Saccharomyces cerevisiae S288C: one gene and its partners. The protein of the gene in region 2 interacts with the protein of the main gene of each other region in a pairwise test. Each region holds a gene or a part of one and is shown on either strand. Other genes may lie near its edges.

Evidence for each region. Proteins that work in one complex are often made in the same cells at the same time.
Region 1: the proteins of RSA3 (region 2) and URB2 interact in binary tests that used the Saccharomyces cerevisiae proteins (3 or more experiments, as listed by UniProt).
Region 3: the proteins of RSA3 (region 2) and URB1 interact in binary tests that used the Saccharomyces cerevisiae proteins (3 or more experiments, as listed by UniProt).

Annotation. Positions count from the first base shown.
Region 1 is NC_001142.9:508,135-515,677, reverse strand, and holds URB2 (ribosome biogenesis protein URB2), read left to right. Parts: upstream 1-1,914; coding exon 1,915-5,439; downstream 5,440-7,543. Other genes in the region: NUP85 (Nup85p), read right to left, coding at 1-1,623; GEF1 (Gef1p), read right to left, coding at 5,593-7,543.
Region 2 is NC_001144.5:576,297-582,615, reverse strand, and holds RSA3 (Rsa3p), read left to right. Parts: upstream 1-3,591; coding exon 3,592-4,254; downstream 4,255-6,319. Other genes in the region: IFH1 (Ifh1p), read left to right, coding at 1-383; U3 snoRNA-associated protein UTP13, read left to right, coding at 845-3,298; CCC1 (Ccc1p), read right to left, coding at 4,823-5,791; MSC3 (Msc3p), read right to left, coding at 6,279-6,319. UniProt on the Saccharomyces cerevisiae protein: Required for efficient biogenesis of the 60S ribosomal subunit.
Region 3 is NC_001143.9:409,515-418,834, reverse strand, and holds URB1 (Urb1p), read left to right. Parts: upstream 1-1,921; coding exon 1,922-7,216; downstream 7,217-9,320. Other genes in the region: snoRNA-splicing protein PRP40, read right to left, coding at 1-525; ARC19 (Arc19p), read left to right, coding at 812-1,327; PUT3 (Put3p), read right to left, coding at 7,352-9,320. UniProt on the Saccharomyces cerevisiae protein: Required for 60S ribosomal subunit formation and pre-rRNA processing. Required for normal accumulation of 25S and 5.8S rRNAs.

The sequences.
Region 1 (7,543 bases), on a different chromosome or scaffold from region 2:
CGTGGTGTATATTTCCTTCGCTATTTCTGGTAGTCTCCATTCTACACATATACTTAGCATCCATTCAATGTCATCATTCGTAACAAATGGGTAGTGTGGAAGTAATTCTGCAATCACCATTTTCTTTGCACTTCTCGTCCCTGTTGCAGATAAGGCTATCAATCCAATGGCAACGGGCCATAGTTCCTTATCACCCAGTGAACACAACTCAAAAGCGAAGCTATTTAGCATATAAGATGCCATACCATTCCTATAAGAGAATAGATCTTCAAGCATTTCGTTGTCTTCATTACTATAATCATCGCTATTTTTTTCACCCTCAAAAATATTCTCTATCAAACCTTTTGCTTCACAAATCATAGCGGTAAATGCTGCTGTGCAACTATCTAAAGATTCCATTACCGGTAAAATTGAGTGTATCTTACCACTAATGATGTCGACGCATGGTTGTTCCCAATCATTTGTTATGTCTACGACGTTAGCTTCCAGTGACATTTGTAAATATTCTGCTGATAGTTCTAATGAGGGGATATAGTATAATAAAAACCCACAAAAGGACTCATACCACGTCCTTGAATACTGCAGAATTTTTCGTTGATTTCCACCAATTACTAACAAGAAATCTTCAATGTAATCCCGTAATTCACCGGAAATATCAGTAGCAGAACTACCAAAGGCTTGACTTAATTTTAGCACCAAATTTTTCCATTCTCTAAATGTACTGGACGAATCTTTTGGATATTGTTTCAGGAGTTCGATGGAGTCACTTACTGCATCAAATGAAACGGCACATGTATCACTCAAATATGGTAAAAGATCTGATCTTTCAATGCAACCTATAGCTTGGGAGAGCAGGCCTCTTAAAACAAGCTGATTCAAAAGCTTCCAGAAATATTGTGTTTCGAACACTTTTTTACCTGCTGTAGAATCCTTCACTGAAAACACTTGTTCAATATATTCTTCATCTGGTTCACCGTCTGATCTATTAATCCAGTTTAGCAATGACTCAATAAACTCTGATCTGTTCTCCTCTACATCCTGACCATCTAATATGAAGTACATTGTCCTCAGACAGTTTAAAACGGTTAAAGATTCTTCCAACTCATAAAATCGGTTCACTCTTCCATCCTGATCCTTGACTCTACCAATAAACACTTCCAATTCATTCAGAATCGCCTCCATGGCCAGATTTACTGTTGCATTATGCTCCTTCGCGAAATTAGAATTAACAACTCCAATCGTTGGTACATTAAACACTCTGTCATCACCTAAATCACGGTAAATTTCAAATAAACCTGATACGTATGCAGAAAACTCTTTGCTGGTATCTAATCTAGGAATTCTAACAGGATAAAGCTTATATTTATCTTTTGCAGTTATGAATGCCATATTTTGGTAAGAAAGTGGCCCCAGCTTGAACTTTAAAGGCATCTTGTCGCCATTTTTTTCAATCGGTTGATCATTTACAGTCATAGGGACCAGGATAGCCCCGCTGACTGGGTCCCTTTTATATAGTTGTTCTTCTTCATCGGTCTTGTTATTACTAAGTTGCGCCGTTCCGTCGTCCAAAAAATCAAATTGATCGACGTCCATAAGTAATCGATTTGAATCATCGATTGTCATATCTGATAATTGCGTTCTGGCTCACGCTTATTGACTCAACTCAAGACCGTAAGTTCAATGTTTTCTATACAACTACAATTTGTACAAGGCTTGACTTCCATCCAACTAAAAAACCTCTCCGTCGTGCGCGATCTGAAAAATTTCACTTAGCTCATCTCAAAATGATCGCTAAGAGGGCACTTGGTCACAACTACAGAATTGTTTACTAGCATAGGAACATCTCTGTCTAAGATTTAGCTTGCCATCAATTATCTTTGGAAAAACAGAGAGTATACTGCACTTTTTGATAATATGGGTGATCTTACAGAAGAACTATCTATCCCAGACAATGCCCAAGATTTGTCGAAATTACTACGTTCGACGAGCACAAAACCCCATCAAATTGCCGAGATAGTTTCAAAATTTGATAAATTAGAAACCTACTTTCCAAAAAAAGAAATTTTCGTCTTAGATTTACTCATTGATAGGCTCAACAATGGAAATTTGGATGATTTTAAGACCAGTGAACATACTTGGATAATTTTCACGAGATTATTAGATGCTATTAATGATCCAATTTCGATAAAAAAACTACTCAAAAAATTGAAGACTGTGCCTGTAATGATAAGAACATTTTTCCTTTGGCCTAAAGACAAATTACTTACACGTAGCGTTTCGTTTATAAAAGCATTTTTTGCGATTAATGACTACTTGATTGTCAATTTTTCTGTTGAAGAGTCTTTTCAACTTTTAGAACATGCCATAAATGGATTAAGTTCGTGCCCGACGACTGACTTTGCGCTTTCATACTTGCAAGATGCCTGCAATCTAACTCATGTTGACAATATTACTACAACGGATAACAAAATTGCTACTTGTTACTGCAAGCATATGCTACTACCAAGTTTAAGATATTTCGCACAGACCAAAAATTCTGCATCTTCAAACCAATCCTTCATTCGTCTATCTCATTTTATGGGAAAGTTCCTTTTACAACCACGCATAGATTACATGAAATTAAATAAAAAGTTTGTCCAAGAGAATGCGTCCGAAATTACCGACGATATGGCTTATTATTATTTTGCCACTTTCGTCACTTTCTTATCAAAAGACAATTTTGCTCAACTAGAAGTCATCTTTACAATTTTAGGTGCCAAGAAACCTAGTTTAGAATGCAGATTTCTGAATCTTTTATCGGAATCGAAGAAAACCGTATCTCAAGAGTTCCTTGAAGCATTATTGCTTGAAATGTTAGCGTCGACTGATGAATCTGGAGTGTTATCATTAATACCAATTATCCTTAAATTGGATATCGAGGTTGCTATTAAACATATTTTTCGGTTACTTGAATTGATTCAGCTCGAAAATTTGAACGATCCTCTCTTTTCCTCTCATATTTGGGATTTAATAATCCAATCACACGCTAACGCAAGGGAATTATCAGATTTTTTTGCCAAAATAAATGAGTACTGTTCCAGAAAAGGACCCGATTCCTATTTTTTGATAAATCATCCTGCATATGTCAAGTCTATAACGAAGCAATTGTTCACTTTATCTTCTTTACAATGGAAAAATCTATTGCAAGCTTTACTTGACCAAGTCAATCACGATTCCACCAACAGGGTTCCTTTATATTTAATACGCATATGCTTGGAGGGACTATCAGAGGGCGCATCGCGCGCAACTCTCGATGAGGTAAAGCCTATTTTATCTCAAGTATTTACTTTGGAATCATTTAATAACAGTCTTCAATGGGACCTAAAGTATCATATAATGGAAGTCTACGATGATATTGTCCCTGCAGAGGAACTAGAAAAAATCGATTACGTGTTATCTTCTAATATTTTTGATACTACATCGGCTGATGTTGAAGAACTGTTCTTTTATTGCTTCAAATTGAGAGAATATATTTCGTTCGATCTTTCTGATGCAAAAAAAAAATTCATGAGGCACTTTGAAATCCTTGACGAAGAAAGAAAGTCAAACTTATCATACTCTGTTGTGTCCAAATTTGCAACATTAGTAAACAACAACTTTACAAGAGAACAAATTTCTTCTTTAATTGATTCATTACTATTGAACTCGACAAATTTATCTTCGTTATTAAAAAATGATGACATTTTTGAGGAGACAAATATCACGTACGCTTTAATAAACAAGCTTGCTTCATCATACCATCAAACCTTCGCTCTAGAAGCTTTGATTCAAATTCCTATCCAATGCATCAACAAAAACGTTAGAGTGGCTCTCATTAACAATCTAACATGCGAATCATTTTGCCTTGATTCCGCTACTAGAGAATGCCTCCTTCATTTATTGTCAAGCCCGACCTTCAAGAGCAACATTGAAACAAATTTCTACGAATTATGTGAGAAAACAATAATGAGCCCCGAAATGGCCATTTCAGAGACAGGTGATGAAAAAAAGGAAATAGAAGACAAAATATCTATTTTCGAAAAAGTTTGGACTAATCATCTGTCACAGGCAAAGGAGCCTGTGAGTGAGAAGTTCTTAGAATCTGGTTACGATATCGTTAAACAGTCAATGTCATTGTCCAATGGTGATAGCAAACTAATTATCGCCGGGTTTACTATCGCAAAATTTTTGAAACCAGATAACAAGCATAGAGATATACAAGGTATGGCAATTAGCTATGCTGTTAAAATTTTGGAAAACTACTCTGAAAATTTTGAATCTGAAACAATTCCCCTTTTCAGAATATCAATGTCTACATTGTACAAGATTATAACGACCGGACAAGGCGATATTTCTAAGCATAAATCGAGAATTCTGGATATATTTTCCAAAATTATGCTTCGATATCATTCTAAAAAAGTGTACCATGCGCCAGAAGAACAGGAAATGTTTTTGGTTCATTCACTCCTTACAGAAAACAAGTTGGAGTATATTTTTGCAGAGTACTTAAATATTGAGCATACAGATAAGTGCGATTCTGCCTTGGGGTTCTGCTTGGAAGAAAGTCTTAAACAAGGTCCTGATGCGTTTAACCGCCTGCTCTGGAACAGTGCTAAATCGTTTTCCACCATTAGCCAACCTTGTGCTGAAAAATTTGTGAGAGTTTTTATCATAATGTCAAAAAGGATTGCAAGAGACAATAACCTTGGTCATCACCTATTTGTGATAGCTTTACTTGAAGCCTACACCTATTGTGATATAGAAAAATTTGGCTACAAGTCATACTTGCTACTGTTCAATGCTATCAAGGAGTTCTTAGTATCGAAACCATGGCTATTCAGCCAATACTGTATTGAAATGCTGCTTCCTTTCTGTTTAAAAACTCTCGCTTTTATAGTAAACCATGAGTCAACGGATGAAATCAATGAAGGCTTTATTAACATCATCGAAGTGATAGATCATATGCTATTAGTTCACAGGTTTAAATTTTCCAATCGTCACCATTTGTTTAACTCCGTTCTTTGCCAGATACTAGAAATAATAGCAATTCATGATGGTACATTGTGTGCAAATTCAGCAGACGCCGTAGCCAGACTAATAACGAACTACTGCGAGCCTTATAATGTATCAAACGCTCAAAATGGGCAGAAAAATAACTTAAGCTCAAAGATAAGTTTGATAAAGCAGTCCATCAGAAAAAATGTACTTGTGGTTCTAACGAAATATATACAGTTGTCTATTACGACGCAGTTCAGTTTAAACATAAAAAAGAGTCTGCAGCCCGGTATTCATGCGATTTTTGATATATTATCTCAGAACGAGTTGAATCAATTGAACGCTTTCCTTGACACACCTGGGAAACAATATTTCAAAGCACTTTACCTCCAATACAAAAAGGTTGGTAAATGGCGCGAAGATTAACTTATGTGTTTTAGTGTGTTTTCAAAAGGCATTTCTCTGCTCACGTTTAATAACAGGGTGACGGAGCTTAAACAAGTAAAAATTGATAAAAGTCTGTATCATATAATTTTGAATAATCTATACTAGCGCCTTAAAAATTACATAAATGTCTAATCATATAACGTTACCATTTCGATTAGTGGTAAACCTTTTGATTATGAAATGGATAACTGACCAACATCTTCTATCAAGTGCTTCATTATATGTAAATTTCGCACCGTGAACTTCTCGATACTTAATTCTTTTGAACCTCAAAATATCTTTAGCAGTGACCAACCCCTTTAAAATTCCACTTTCCTCTACGATGATAGTCTTACAACCTAGCTCTTTAAACATACGGAATAACAATGTTACTGGCACCGCCTTCTTCACCGAGATTGGAGATTCATTCATAATATCCTTAAATCCGATGCAGTTTTCACGATGTCCCAACTCTTCGTTAGACTTATTGAAGTATACCAGTGTCGTTTGAGCTTTGGTGCTATTTACGCTTTGCATCATGATTTTACTGGCTAAGTGCCTTTTTAAAACATAGCCAATACATCTTTTTTCCTTCTCAAACTTATCCTCATCCTTAGTTATTGGAAAACCATGCACAGAATATTCAGACGCTGAGTCGTACAACAAAGATTCAAGCTCGGAAAGGTAAATGGTTTCATTAATAGTAATTAATTTGGAGGACATGAGCTGCTCTGCAGTGTATTTTTCTAAGGTTTCCTCCTCTTCCTCGTCTTGCTCGTCTTCCAAATATGGGAATCCATTAACCATGATCATTTGATCAGCAATACCGCCAGAAATACCAGACGTGCTTAAAATTATCCTTGTTATTGCCACTACAATCATAAGGGGTATGATATACATGAAGGCGCCTGTTAGCTCGAACATTATTACCACCACAGTTAAAGTCAAGTTAGTTATCCCGCTCAAGGTAGCGGCTGCTCCCAGGAAGGCGTAGGCACCAGGAGTAATAACAGAAGGGCCACTTATAAATCTCTCTACCAGTAGACTTACTGCCCGTCCAAATGTGGCCCCAACCGCCATTGAAGGAACAAAGATTCCGGCAGGAACTCTGGCGCCATATGATACCACCACCAACAAGGCCCTGATAACAGTGGCAAAGCATAGGGAAGTAAAAATTTTTAAGAACTCAAAAGCGTGCGTATTTTCATCCAACTGACATAACCTATGACTAAAAGTTGAGGTGTTATCGTTCTTGACACATTCATGAAACAATATACCCATACTTTCTGTCATGTCTAATTTCAAGAACTCATTGAAGTAAGAAATCAAAGCAGTAAGCGTCGCCAAAAAAAGCACTTCTTGAACTGGCCATGAGGACAGGTACATTTTGCGAAAGTGAATAAAGTTGATGTTCCACTTACTAATATATTTTCCATATAAACCACCAAAGATTCCTAAGGCTATAAAGATCGGAATCTCTTGTACCTTCCAGTCTCTATCATATGTTACATTGAATAAAATAACTCTGCCATTCCTAAATGGATCAATGTACTTCAAAGTAGTTATTGCGACTAGGGCGACATAATAGGATTTCCATAAGGTAGAGGAGTTAAACCTATTCGCAGAAGCAATCTCTTCCAAACCAAAAAGGACACCACCAATAGGAGCACCAAAAGCAACCGCAACACCTGCTCCACTAGCTGCTGTGATATACTCATATTGCGATGAATACGTCAAAGTATCTCTTAGTAGCCATTTTGTGAGTAAGTACCCACAACAGGTTGCATAATGAACTGAGGGCCCTTCTTTACCTACGCTTAATCCCGAAGAAATAGCCAAAGGAAGGGCAACACTTTTAATGACTAATGTTAAGAAACCCAAAAATTCCTTATTGTATTCAAAACCTGATACCCATACCTTAATCTCTGAGATTCCTGAACCAGTAGCCATAGGAGCAACATATTTGACTAACAGTGTACTAATTAGAGCAAATAAGACTGACAAAAGCATGAAAATTATAAAAGGGGACACATGTCCCTTCCAGGCAATCCAAAGCCCTTGTGCCTCGCATTCAAACTCTTGTCTTTTCAGTAGTAAATTGCTT
Region 2 (6,319 bases):
TTGCCGTGGACAGCAATACAAGGAAAAATTCAACAAAAAGTGTTGGTTTAGATGAAATTCATGAGATTTTGGGCAAAGATGAAAATGACTTACTGTCTGTAGGTGATATTAACGGTTATGATGCACAAGAAGGTCATGTGATCGAAGATACTGACGCCGATATCCTAGCATCGTTAACCGCTCCTGTGCAATTCGACAATACATTAAGCCATGAAAATAGTAATTCCATGTGGAGAAGAAGGCAAAGTATGGTGGAAGCAGCGGCTGAAAATCTTCGTTTCACTAAAAATGGTTTATTTAGTGAGAGTGCATTGGCAGATATCGAAGGAATTATGGGCAATGATGTTAACCATTCATTCGAATTCAATGACGTCTTACAATGAGCTATTTTGCATTTTTTTATGGTTACTACAATCAAATCACCTTTCGTTTACAATATCATCATCAGTATGTGACTTTGCCTTATTCTACTCTGAATTTTGCTTTATCGTTGGTTGAAAAGAATTACATGTTATTTTTTTACTTATATATGCATATTTTTATAGAAAAACACAATCAATATTTTTTTTACTGGTATAATCCGTCCAATCAGACGTATAAAAGTAAATAAGCCTCAAGCAACCCCATTTGATGGATTGCCTTACTCTTCGACTCTAGTTGAGATGATAACCTCATCCACTCTTCTGGCGATTAAGATGGAGCTTCTTAATATATCCGTGTAAAGCGACTGAAAATTTTCTGAAAAATTCAGCTCATCGCTCTCAGATATAATAGCGGTATGGCATTAAAGGTGTGAACCAACAACATAGTACTCTCAACGGTAGTAAGCCATACTACGTACAATATGGATCTGAAAACCTCATATAAAGGTATATCGTTAAACCCTATTTATGCAGGAAGCAGTGCTGTTGCCACTGTTTCAGAAAATGGTAAAATACTAGCTACTCCGGTGCTTGACGAAATCAACATAATCGATTTAACCCCAGGCTCCAGAAAAATTTTGCACAAGATTTCTAATGAAGACGAGCAAGAAATTACTGCACTGAAATTAACTCCTGATGGTCAATATCTCACGTATGTTTCACAAGCTCAGCTTTTAAAAATCTTTCACCTTAAGACCGGGAAAGTTGTCAGATCAATGAAAATCTCTTCTCCATCGTACATTCTCGACGCAGATTCCACTTCAACGCTTCTCGCAGTCGGAGGGACAGATGGTAGTATAATTGTTGTGGATATTGAAAATGGTTACATTACTCATTCGTTCAAAGGTCATGGTGGTACAATTTCCAGTTTGAAGTTTTATGGACAATTGAATAGTAAAATATGGTTATTAGCATCCGGTGACACCAATGGTATGGTAAAGGTTTGGGATCTTGTTAAAAGGAAGTGCTTGCACACATTACAAGAGCACACATCTGCTGTGAGAGGGTTGGATATCATTGAGGTACCAGATAATGATGAGCCAAGCCTAAATTTACTTTCCGGTGGTAGAGACGATATCATCAATCTCTGGGATTTCAATATGAAAAAGAAATGTAAATTGTTGAAAACACTTCCAGTAAATCAACAGGTAGAGTCATGCGGATTCCTAAAGGATGGTGACGGTAAACGCATAATTTATACAGCCGGCGGTGATGCTATCTTTCAGTTAATTGACTCTGAATCTGGTAGCGTGCTTAAAAGAACCAATAAACCTATAGAAGAGTTATTCATTATTGGTGTACTTCCAATATTGAGCAATTCACAGATGTTTTTAGTATTGTCTGACCAGACATTACAACTAATTAACGTTGAAGAAGACTTAAAGAATGATGAAGACACAATACAGGTCACTTCGAGCATTGCTGGTAATCATGGTATTATTGCTGACATGAGGTATGTTGGCCCAGAGCTGAATAAATTAGCTTTAGCTACCAATTCTCCATCGCTTAGGATAATACCCGTCCCCGATTTATCAGGCCCAGAAGCTTCGCTGCCTTTGGATGTCGAAATTTATGAAGGTCATGAAGATTTGCTAAATTCATTGGATGCTACTGAGGATGGCCTGTGGATCGCAACCGCCTCTAAAGATAATACGGCTATTGTTTGGAGATACAATGAGAACAGCTGCAAGTTTGATATTTATGCCAAGTATATTGGTCATTCAGCTGCCGTAACTGCTGTTGGATTGCCAAATATAGTTTCAAAGGGATATCCTGAATTTTTATTGACAGCATCGAATGATTTAACAATTAAGAAATGGATAATTCCAAAGCCAACTGCTAGTATGGATGTTCAAATCATCAAGGTATCCGAATATACTCGTCATGCCCATGAAAAGGATATCAATGCTTTGTCAGTTTCTCCTAACGATTCTATTTTTGCAACAGCATCATACGACAAGACCTGTAAGATCTGGAACCTAGAAAATGGTGAATTGGAAGCCACGTTGGCCAACCACAAGCGTGGACTATGGGATGTATCATTTTGCCAATATGATAAATTATTGGCAACTTCTTCAGGTGATAAAACAGTCAAGATATGGTCATTGGATACATTCAGCGTTATGAAAACATTGGAAGGTCATACCAATGCGGTTCAAAGATGTTCGTTTATTAATAAGCAAAAACAACTGATCAGTTGTGGTGCTGATGGCTTGATCAAAATATGGGATTGTTCTAGCGGTGAATGTCTGAAGACTTTGGATGGTCATAATAATAGATTATGGGCTTTAAGTACTATGAATGATGGTGATATGATCGTAAGTGCTGATGCAGATGGTGTTTTTCAGTTTTGGAAAGATTGTACGGAACAAGAAATAGAAGAAGAACAAGAAAAAGCTAAATTACAAGTCGAACAAGAACAATCGCTTCAAAATTATATGAGCAAAGGTGATTGGACAAATGCATTTTTGTTAGCAATGACTTTAGATCACCCAATGAGGTTGTTTAATGTTTTGAAAAGAGCTTTGGGCGAATCAAGGTCTAGACAAGATACCGAAGAGGGCAAAATTGAAGTCATTTTCAATGAAGAATTGGACCAAGCCATCTCTATCCTAAATGATGAACAGTTAATTTTGTTAATGAAACGATGCAGAGATTGGAATACAAATGCAAAAACACATACCATAGCGCAAAGAACAATAAGATGTATTTTGATGCATCATAACATAGCAAAATTGAGTGAGATACCCGGAATGGTAAAGATAGTTGATGCAATAATTCCATACACGCAAAGGCATTTCACAAGGGTTGATAACTTAGTTGAACAAAGTTACATATTAGACTACGCGCTAGTGGAAATGGATAAGCTATTCTAGGCAGTAAGTCCAAGATATTGAGCCTTTAAAAGCAAGGCAATAGCAACATATTATTTTGTAAACTAGATATATAAAGACAAAATGCATTGATGAAGCGGAAAGCTTAAAATAATTCGATATATAATTAGGTGCCTTTACGGGCATTGAAAACTTCTTTGCGCGAAGAGCTCATCACTAAAAATTTGCAAAAAACGAAGAGCGAAAACTTTCATATATTGTAGTAATATATACAAGAATTTAAACTGCCCACTTGAAATAGCACGGAAAGAACTAGCCATAATATATTATACAGGATGTCGGCAGGTGATATATCAGCCATAAATATCAAGTCTGTCAAAAAAAACAGAAGGAGGAAGAAGAGAAGAACAGCTGATGTTTCATCATCAGATTCTTCATCATCGGATCCATCATCAGAAAGTGAAAAGGAGGAAATCCAAAATGGGGCCATCGAAGAACACGTTGGAGAAAATGGTAAAAGTGATCATGTTTTCTCAAAAGGTAATGACGAAGACAAACAAGAGGACATTGCAATAGAAGTTTCGGATGTCGAGCTTACAGACGAAGAAAGCAAGGATTTGAAGTTAAATTCAAAAGAAGTGATAGACGATTTAACCAAAATTTCTTTGAGCAAGATCCCAGAGCCTACGAAATCTCAAAACAAGGAGGGTTTTATGAATGCATCGAAAATTGCCGAAAATATCAAGCTTGCGAGAGAAGAATACAATGAATTGGCAGAAAACTTTGTGCCCAAAGGGAAAGACAAGACAAAGTTAAGGGAAGAATACTTAAATTTACTTTTTGAAAACTACGGTGATGATATCAATCGTCTTAGAGCTGCCCCGGATTTCACGAATAAATCACTATCCATTTTGGCAGATGCTCTGCAGGAAGGCATAGGAATGTTTGATATTGGTGAACTAGAATTGGTCTTGAAAAATAAAGAAATGGAGAACTGAAAAATATTGCTTTAAATCTTTTTCTAAAAGTTTGTCATGTTTCCGCGGAGAATATATTGACGTGCACATTAATTATTTAGATAATTCTTCGATTTTTAATGAAGAGCGGTCCTGATCCAAGTTGTGCTTCATATGGTATAAAGCTGATTCCAGTATACTGCACGAGAAGTATATGTATGTATTTTGTAATTTATATAAAGGCAAAAAAAAGAAAAACACTTGGGCATAATGGAGGAGAAGATCTTATGACCTGATAGTCAAAGAGAAAAAGAAAAAAGCAGAAGGAGCAAAGAAAGGCGGCGACCAAATGACGAATTAGATCCAATGAAAAACGATTCAATGCGAATAAAGGTTATCATGGATCACCTGATGGGCCTCTTGGCAATAGAAAAAGAAACTAGTTTGAAATTCATTAATATAAATAAATTTAAAGAGGAGAATATAGAAACAAATTAAAACGTAAAAGAAATGTATGTCGAGAAAATCCAGCCCAGTTCCAAGTATATAGCAAAGCTTCTCAATCCCAAATTTCTTTACAATAAATATGTATAGTGTTGTTACTTTACACTTAACCCAGTAACTTAACAAAGAACCAAGCCGCACCTGCTGCTACACCACCCACAACAACCATTTCAACACCTTCCGTAACTTTCTTTGAAGTCGAACTGCCACTACCCATGGATAGTTTTGTCTTTACGTAACCAAACCAGAATAATGTTACAACCATGACTATTATAGAATAAATGAGACCTGTGCCCACATCTGAGACAAAAAAATATGGCACTAGTGGTACTAGCCCACCAAGTAGATAACCGCCACCGATAGTGACTGCACTGATTAGTTCTCTATTCTCGGCAGGTTCGTCTAGACCCCTACCGTACCTGATAATGAAGTCAACCATTAGCTCAGGTGTTCTTTGTAAATCTTTGATGAACGAAACGATTGTTTCGTCCGAGAAATTAGGGTTAATCTCTAACAGAATGTCTTCAATTTCTCTGTTAATTAGGTTGGAGTTATCGTAAAATTTCCTTTTCTCCTTCTTTACTTCAGCATGATAATAATCAGATTCACTCTTCGCTCCCAAATAGCCACCAAGGCCCATAGAAATCGCACCTGAGATCAACTCAGCAAAGCCACCGGTAATGACCAATTTCGCATCACCAAGTGAAGATAGACCAGCTGTTAGAGCAAAGGGGACGGTTAAACCGTCGCTTAGCCCGATAATCAAATCGCTAATTACGCGAGGATCTACTGATTGGAAGAACCCTAGGTTCGCCTTTTCGTTATCCGAACCGTTATCGCCATTCCTATTATCTTTCCCTACTGACATCGGTGAGTTTTCTAGATCCTGCGCTGAATTTCTACCATAGATAATATCCGAGCTAGATGAGGATAAGTTATCATGCCTTGAACTATTGCTATTACTACCCCTCAACAAGGGAGTTGATTCAGACCCCCCCAACTCTGAGGTTCCACCACTACCTTTCGCTTTCTGTATAAGGGTCACCACTGCGTTCTTTAGTGCTACAATGGACATAATATTTGTGTGCACGAGATATGGGAGGACAAAAAAAAAGTTTCTTTGTTCAATATACCAATAAAAAAAAAGAGTCTAAAGGCTTCGTTCTGTTATATTTCTATTCTATAAACCTAAAAAAAGCAAAAATTGAGAGTGATGTCGCTTTAACTTGATTATTTGAACTATTTTGTTTTGTATCAATTTTTCATATATAATCTTAATTTTACATCTTCATTGTGAGACATTCGGGCTAACAAAGAAAACAAAAAATGCGGGTCACGAAAGGGGTACCGAGCCAATGAGAAGAGGGTATGTTAGTAATATTAGTGAGAAATGCGGCGCGATTGGTCCAGACCGAAAAAAATCAATATTATTAAACTGTAAAAGTTATATTAAAAATTAAGTTACATTAGTAATTGAAGTTCACAAGAAGAAAAAGAAGAGAATAAATCTAAAACCAGGCTTCAAAAATTAGGGTTGATTGCAAAATTCGAGTAAACAACTGCTAACGGCTGCTTTTTTTCTTGAACAGTTTAGTGAAGAAAC
Region 3 (9,320 bases), on a different chromosome or scaffold from region 2:
GGGGTCATCATCGACCATCCAATACCTTGGATCTCTGGTCCCCAGTTCTGAAATAATTCTACTGAATGACCAAGTAGAGTCTACTTGATTTTCCTTCAGCATGGTAATAAATTCCTTCTCTGCTTCTTCTTTAGTCCTTCTCCTGACATTAAGCAGTTTAGAGTTATTAGCATATTGGCTTTCCTCCTCGTTTATAGTTCGTCCCGGCTCTTGTTTTTCTCCAGCCGTAAGGGCTATTCTATTTCCATTAACCTGTGCATGGGATACTGTATCATGTTTTTGTTCTGCGATGGGTTCTACTTTCTTCTCGAAGGCCGGAATAGTCCAGCTGGTTTCTCTTGTTGTTGGATTATAATAGTATACTTTGCCGTCTGCCGTCTTGGCCGCCTTCCAGCCATTTTCTCGAAGAAGTAGCTCCTCCTGAGAAATTAGTTCCTTGGGCTTCTCCCACGTAGATTTCTTTGTCAAAGTATTGTAATAATATATCCTTCCACTTGCATCTTTAGCTTCCTTCCAAATAGACATAGTTTCACGTCTCCCACCTCCGGCAATGCTTGTCTAGTGGTCGATCTGGCTTCAGACCTTGTTATCCTGATAGGTAGGCACGCTATTGCGATGTCATCAACTGCCAGATTTCCAAGTACATTATTATTGTCGATAATTTCATATCGTTTACCACGTCGCCCCTTTTGTATAGCAAAATACAATTATAGAACAAAAAAAGCCTGTAAAGCCAAGCAAATAGAGGCTTTCGGAACAACTCGGTGTCACTTTGACAAAAGATAAAAGAGGAAGCAACTGATAGTAGGAAATGTCACAATCATTACGTCCGTATCTAACGGCTGTTCGTTATTCCCTGGAAGCTGCGTTGACTTTGAGCAATTTCTCTTCGCAGGAAGTGGAGAGGCACAACAGACCGGAAGTTGAAGTCCCTAACACTAGCGCCGAATTGTTGCTCCAACCGATGCATATATCTCGTAATGAAAATGAACAAGTATTGATTGAGCCCAGTGTAAACTCGGTGCGTATGAGTTTAATGGTGAAACAGGCAGATGAAATTGAGCAGATTTTAGTTCACAAGTTTACTAGATTTTTGGAACAGCGTGCTGAAGCATTCTACATTCTGAGACGTGTACCAATACCTGGCTACAGTATTTCTTTTCTAATAACTAATAAGCATACTGAATCAATGAAAACTGGGAAATTGGTTGATTTTATTATTGAATTCATGGAGGACGTGGATAAGGAAATCAGTGAAATTAAACTGTTTTTGAATGCCAGAGCAAGATTTGTTGCGGAAGCATATCTTGATGAATTTGTCTATTAGATTCCTAATATAGGAAAGGGAATCTTTCTCCGTCAGGGCCCTATTGACGGAAAACTTTACGATCTGTACTGACTGTGTTAGTTTGCGTACTCAATTGAACTATTTCGAGACTATTTAGTTAGATACAATAACATGTGTATGTGAATTAATTATAAACGTACTTTTAAATTGCAGTTACTTTGTATAATTATGGTGATTTTTTTAGTACTTAAATTATATTCATAAAAAGGGATTAAAATGTTTCTCCCGACACCTAAAATTAAACTTCAATCTGTCAATTCTAACACAAAACGTTTTCATTTTACGTAAACAAATGAAGATTGAAGATTCTAAAGCATTTATTATTACTGCCGCACTAGTATACGACCAAACTAAAATTATATGATAATAGTGCACCAACATATAGTAAACAGCTTTTACCTATGCACGACTTGCATGAGGATTTCAATATTATATCACTGTAGACGAAATATGAAAAATTTCAGCAATAAAGCTCATCGCAAAGAATAGTTCGGTTATATTCTTGATTGGATATTATTTCTCTAATCTATGCGGTACTACTTCATCTAACAGAACTAGAGGAGCACTTACATAATGAGTAATCATAGCGAAGCCTATGGATCTCGCGACCAGAGAAGGGAGAAGTACACCCAAGGGAAAGAGTTCGAAGACGGTACATTAGAAACACTAGAAAGTATAATCAGTGCAGTCGAAGATGAAACTCTCTCCAAAGATTACCAACCTCTAATAGTGTTCTTCCAAAGAGGATTTGGTGCTCAATTGGTACAGACTTGGTCATATTATGCTCAAGTAAATAACCATGGGAAATTCTCGAAAACTACCTCATTACTGACTAAAACCTTACGAGTTTTGTCATCTGATACTAGTACAGTGACTATTGGGAGCGGTCTAATTAGATTGATATTGACCGATTACACAAAAGTTCTCTATAGAGGGTTGAACAATATGCGTGCGCAATTAACTAATCCAATTCTTCGTCTACTCAAACAAATAGTCAATTTCAACAATGGGCAACATATAGAGGAATTAGTTTCATATTTCGATTTTTCATTACCTATTTTACCAAGACTGTTGGTACCAAGCAAGTCTGAGTTAGCCAATGGGAATTCATCTGCTGATTCATCCAAACATGACTCATTAAGATTTACATTTATCAAGTTTTGGTTGACATTGATCTCAAATGCTTCCCCATTCGTGAGAAAAGAACTTTTGACAGAAAACTTTAAGATTATGAGCAACCTATTTAAATTCATGAATAAGGCTGATTCTGACAAGTTATCTGAGCACATACTATCGGTATTCATAAACGACATTTTAAAGGAGAAATCCTTCAAGAGAACTACTAAAACCAAAATTTTAAATGAACTAGCGGCTTCAAAGATTCATCACTTTTATTATTCATCAAACAAGAATTTGGTTAAGAAGGCAAATGAGTTTTTCTTAACTTTTGGAGCTTCCCGTGACTTTAGCGTAGCATTTCCTGATAATTGCGTTTGGTTCAAAAATTCAGTTGCTGATGGAGCTTCTCATGGAGCTCCGATAACCGTCAACCAAGTGGAATTTCAAATTCATAATAAACTTTTGTTCAACACTTTACGCCTTTTCAAACCTTGGGAAGATACGCTGCAATTAGGTACGTTGATCAAAATATTGGAGAACGTTCCCGAACTTGTTGCTCCTTACAGCATCTTTTTAACGACGAATGGTAACTATGACCCTAAGATGACTTCGTATTGGTTTGGTATAACGTTACTGATTAACAAGATTATTAATCTTAAGATACCGCAATTTATGGAGAAAGTTGATAGCAATATTCCACCTGCCACTTCATTAGTTATAGAAAACATTCTGCCATCTTTGCTCACCAAATCCTCGTTGGTTAAATCCCTACAATTTGAAACACCCATCATAAGACAATTAGCCTGTCAATCAATAGTTCTAGCGTTAAAAAAATTAGAAAAAGTTTCCACATTTTATGATCAAAAAGGCTGGAGAAATGAAAAAACTATTTTACTCAACGAGTTTCATACTAGAATTCCTGATTTACCAATCTTCGTATCTACTTTGAGCAATTCTTTGGCTTCCAATAAGGATAATAGAATTTTACCTCTGTCCATATCCATCATATTCAACTACTATAGTAAAATGTTCCCCAACCTCTTCTCAATTAACCTACCATCATCAAATATTTACACAGATATCATGCAAAAATCCAAGATTTCTGGCATAGAATTTGCTATTCTGGACAACTACTTACAATTTCAAGAATTTAACTCTACTCAAACCAGGTGGTGGAATCCAAGTTCTGGTGGAAATTCTTTATTCACCCTACTATTAAAGCTAGCATCCTCCAAAAATGCTTCTAACGTGATAACTACAAGAATATCCAACTTGCTCGATGAGCTGACGAGAACAAACGTTATCTTCAACATATCTTTAATTTCACCAGTGATGGCTTTAGTGAATAGTCTTCAAGGGCTTTCCCTTCAAGTTTCTGAAATTGACAACATGGAACAAGTCTGGAAGTGGTTTGACGAAACTATATCTCGTGTCGTAAAAACACCATACAAGTACGTCGATATGGCAAAAGAGTATAACTACATTTCTCCCTTCATAATGTGCCTTTCAGAGCAATGGAAATACGTTGACAAGAGTGGAAACCCAGAGTTTTTAATTAAATGGCTTATACTTTTTCTTAGAAACATGATTTTCATTGGTGAAGACCATATAGGCATAGATAAACTTGTTAAAAATGTCTTTCCTGAGGTCTCTGATCATGATGTTAATATATACTTGAAACTTGACTCATTTGAAGAAAACATAAAGAAAACTAATAGCTCTAATTCTTTAATTTCTTCAATGAAGAGCTCATCTTTTTTCCAGTATATTTCGGCGCTTCCATCTAAAAATCTAATGAATATTTCTAGATTACCAGTGAACAAATTAGATGCGGCAGGAATCCTTTTTAGAGTTCAGTTATTGGTAGAAGACGATTCTGTTGTATATGACAATTGGTTCGAAGCAACTGCCTGTGAGTTAACTGGCAAGATTGCTAGCTACATGGTAACAGACACAGAATTCCCAATTATCAAAGTTTTGGAAAGGTATATAAATTTCGCTTTACCAAAACTGGCCATTGAAAAAAGAAATGCTCTACTCATGAAAAAATCAAGGTTCATGTGCAATTTAATCGGTGCAGTATGCTTTGAAACAGGCCATCAATTAGTGGAATTCCGAGAAATAATTCAAAAAGTCGTGTTTAGTGGTGAAAATGTCGAAGAGTATGCCAACTATAATGAGTTGTATCAGAAAGAAGATGTAAATGCTTTCTTAACAAGTGTTAGTGAGTATTTAAGTACTTCAGCTTTAACTTCGCTACTCATGTGTAGCACCAAACTAGAGTCCACAAGAAACATTCTCCAAAAATTATTCAACGAAGGAAAAACTATAAAAATATCCCTTGTAAAGAATATACTGAACAAAGCTGCAAATGAAGATCCTGCTTCAATTAAGGAAGTAAACATCTCTTTGGCTAAATTTTTTGAAGAAAACAAAGTTTGTGTTGATGCTTCATCTGATCCTATGGGTAAGCTATCCCTTTCAGAAACTACTTCTCTGATAAATAGTTTTGTGTCTAGTGATTTGAATTATCTAGTACTGAAAGCTTTTTACAGATGGGAACATTTTTCTTTCCCATCTTTCATACCAAGTATCTGGAGGATCAAGGATTCACCTTTACTAAGTATTGTAACAACGGCTGCTTTGTTCAAGCACATGCAGGATAAAGATTTTAGCGCATTTGCGCATGAAACCATTTCCAAGTATGGTAATGAAATTGCGAAAAGTACTTACACTACCTCGAAAAGTGAGATTTTTGACGAAATATTAAATATGATTACCACTTATATTGATTTCTATGACGAAACGAAACGAAATGAAATTTTGAAATGTGTTTTATCACAGAGCGACCATAAATATCATGCTGCTACAGTAAGATACATAGCTGCACACAATAATTTTACTTATCCAGGGGTAGAAACATGGTTACATAAAACTCTTCTTTACCTTACAAAGTACCTTTCAGAAAGAAAAGTTATCTCCAATTCTTTTTTTGAGTTACTAAGAGCGATGGCTGAGCTCTTAAAACTTGAAGAGGTACCAAATAAGTTGAATGTCAAAATCATTAATTCTCAATTAGAGGCTATTCTAGGCAGTGAGTGGATCAAACAAATTAAGGTTCTTGAATACGTTATTGTATTAATTTTTTGTGTGAGCAAAAAGTCAATTCAATCGCAAAGAATGGTTCAACTTTTATTAAGCAATGACAGTTACTCATCAATAATGATTAAAGACAATGATGAAGATTCATCGTATCGAAAGTTCTTAAGCACAATGATATTATTCTCTTTATTCAGCATCGACCCGGTCGTAAATTCGACGCCAATAGTTCAAGAGAAATTATTGACTTTTTACTCCGGTACTATTTCCAGTAACGACAAGTTGATACTGAAAATTCTAGAAACTATCGAATCTCACACCGCTACTTCATGGACAAACATGATTTTTTCTTGGGAATTTATCAAAGACGAAGAGGAAGAAATCTTGGAAGCCATTGGAGACACGAGGCTGATTACCAAAGAAAGGGAGGGGTTGATACTAACACTACAAAAAAACATGATCAAAAAGTCCATTGACAGATACGTATTGGAAAGGCCTCAAGTCCCTGAATTATATACCGATTCTAATACAAACAATTATGATGCTACTACAAGGTGTGACCTAGTCAAAAAGTACTACGATGATACCGAACGATCTGGTGTTGATATGTACGATCCATTATTTTTACTGCTATTAATAATCCATAACAAAGAGCTGGTAAAAATGGTCAAAGATGACGAGGGCAATGTAACATACAGATATGAATTTGAAAATTTCCTTGATTGCAAAATATTTCAGTTTATTATTTGCTCATTAAGCGATTGTCATACCGTTGCCAATATAAGTTACGAACATTTATCAAATTTAGCTTCTTCTTTGGAGAAGAAAACTGCCCAGATGAATCTTGAAAAGCAAATAACTAGCAAGGATAATGAAAGAAAAGAATCTGATAGCGATTTAATCAAATATAATAGCATTTACCAAGTGTTGATTAAAAGGATTTTATACCAGAGACAACAAAATCAAGATCCTATCAATCCGTTAATTTGGTTTTCTATCTCTAGAATTGTTGATCTATTGGGAAGTCCAACTGCGCCCTTACATGAGAAGGCATACCGCTGGGTATTATCAAATTCTACCATACGTAGTTGGGACATCCCTATGGTATCTGATGTGATGATGTCCTACAATAAGAGACAACAAGATGACAATAAGAAAGAAATTGATATGGAAATATACTATGGAGAATTGAGTTGGGTTTTAACAACCATTTGTAAGGGAATTAAAACGGATGAAGATTACAAGATGTTAGAGAAGAAAGGTGTATTTGAATGGTTGTTAAACTTGATCAATATGCCATACTTGAAAGAAAGATTACGCGAACTAATCTATTTTATTTTTTACAAAGTCCAAAGGGTAGCAGATGATGGTGGTTTGAATTTAATTAGCAGAAACGGTATTGTGTCGTTTTTCGAGGTTTTGAACAATAACATCAAATCTAGACTACCACAGGACGATATACTGAACAACATTGGTACTTTACGGAACGAAAACAGAGGTACATTAAATACTACTTTGAGGTTAGCCCAAGAACAAAACGGAATTGAAAAACTACTATTAGGCTACAACGAGCTTGTCAAATCACAAAAAAGGCTAATATTATGGACAGAAGGTGATAGCGACAATGTTGTCAAGAGGCTACGTAAATGAGCTGTCTTGTGATAGATATTTTAAATAAGATTTGAAGAATTAAATGTCCACTTTTCTATATAATGTGCGAAATGTATAATATATGCATAAGAAAACAAAGAAATCAGTATTTTCTTCTTTGTCTTTGTAATGGTGTTATGGTCCTAAATAATCAGTAAAGTCAATTTCACTACCAGCAGCTGCAGTTGGATCCATAGTATTTCCCAGCCACATTGCTTGATCAGTGATTTCCTTCCAAAGTTTTTCATCGGAATGATCAATATTGCCTAAATCCTCCAACAATTGTTGTAAATCGTCATCATTTAGATTATGAACGGAATCCAACTGATCCATGTTTTTTTCCATCACCTGAGAGCCCTTTTCAGTTAGCGTGGTTTGGTATGAATTTTCCAAGCTCGCAGTTATGATATCAAAAAAAGTAGAAGGTTCCGAGTTATTGACGTTAATATCATTAACATCATTATTACCATTACTATAATCAGTCAGCGTTGGTTTCGCGCCTTCCGGAAGTATGCTAACAATGTTCGATATAGATTCGTTCTTGATCATATTTGTATTGGTGTTTGATTTATCACAGTCTATAATTGAAGGGTCAATGCGATCGCCATCTTTGTGAGGTTTACACTTTTCGGTTTCTCTTTTGGGTTCATTGCTATCTTCTACTATGTTATCGTTTTCACAATTCATAGAATCAAATTTCAAAATATCGTTATATTTAGTAATCAAGTCATTCATTATGCCGTGGAAATCCAAATTTGCCATTAATGTTAATAATTGTGCTCTTCTTAAGCCTGCTGGAATGTTGCCTAAGTTTCTCATTTGTGTGAAAATTTCCAGAGAATGATCCAAATGATATAGTGTTTGTTCATGAATACCAAAAGCAGTGTTGAATAGTAATAAAGTACAAGAAGAAGTAAAAAGATACTCTCTGTCCATATAACTAAACATAGCAAGCATACTATTCTGTAATAAACTCCACAGAGACCTAATAGTATTCACAGAAGCATGCAAAGAACATGTTAATAAGGAAGATATTGTGGCAGAATAGTTTTGTAAGTTGACGAAAGTATTGCTCGTTTTGAACCTTTTCAATTGAATGGATGCAAAATGAAATAATAAAGGTCTCACGGCCAAGTTTATTCCTTGAAAATATTCCGTAAACATATTGGTTGACAATCTCGATATTTTGAAATCTTCATCCTTTTGCGTAAAATCCACCTGTAAGGAATCGGACAAATTGTTCCTCCATTCCAACAACTGCTTGATGACAACTTTCAAAGTAATTATGATGTTTGTCTCAGGTTGCCTTTGATATAATTTGCTCAAAATTTGTGCATTGATTTTCACAATAGTAACGCAGTTAGAAATCAATTCTGCCTTTCTGAAAACATAGTGACTATTTTTCTCTTCGATAGTTTCATCATCAATATCCGCTGGCAGTGCTGTAGAGATTGTATAATCAGTGAAACTTAATGGTAACCCAGCTTTTGAGCTAAGCATTCGTTCAAACATGTAAACTGTCCACCAAAGTCTCCTATGATGCTCGATTTCATACCTGGATAGAGTGTCGCTTTGAGAATCAACATGTAAGCCTAGAATTAAGCACGTCCTTAGGGCTTGACCGAAGTAAAAATAAGAGGCTAAAGTGTAATCAGCCACCTGTAAGAAGAACGCGTATAACAACAGGACTTCAATACCGCCTTTCTTAGTCACATTTTCTAATCTTTCACTTGAGAACAAACAATTAAAAATTTTAGAACCCATTTGAAAAAATTTTGAACCGGGCAATTTTGGCTGATTAGAATAATTCTTCAACATTTCATTATTGATGGAACCCAGATACATTTCACCTACTGCTAAAATTAACAAAATTTTGCAAAACCAAACAGCTTGTAAAATTGGATCATTCTCATTGTCCAAAGCTTTTTTGGTATTATCATAGTATAGCCATTTATTTTCCAAGTACAATTTGTTAATGCCACATTTAACCAGGCCTTCGTTGAAAAAGTAAAAACAACCATCGTTATAATTTATAAAGCAGTCAATTAATAGTTTTGTGTAATTATACGAAGGCAACTGAAACTGTATTACCTCTTCCTGGCCA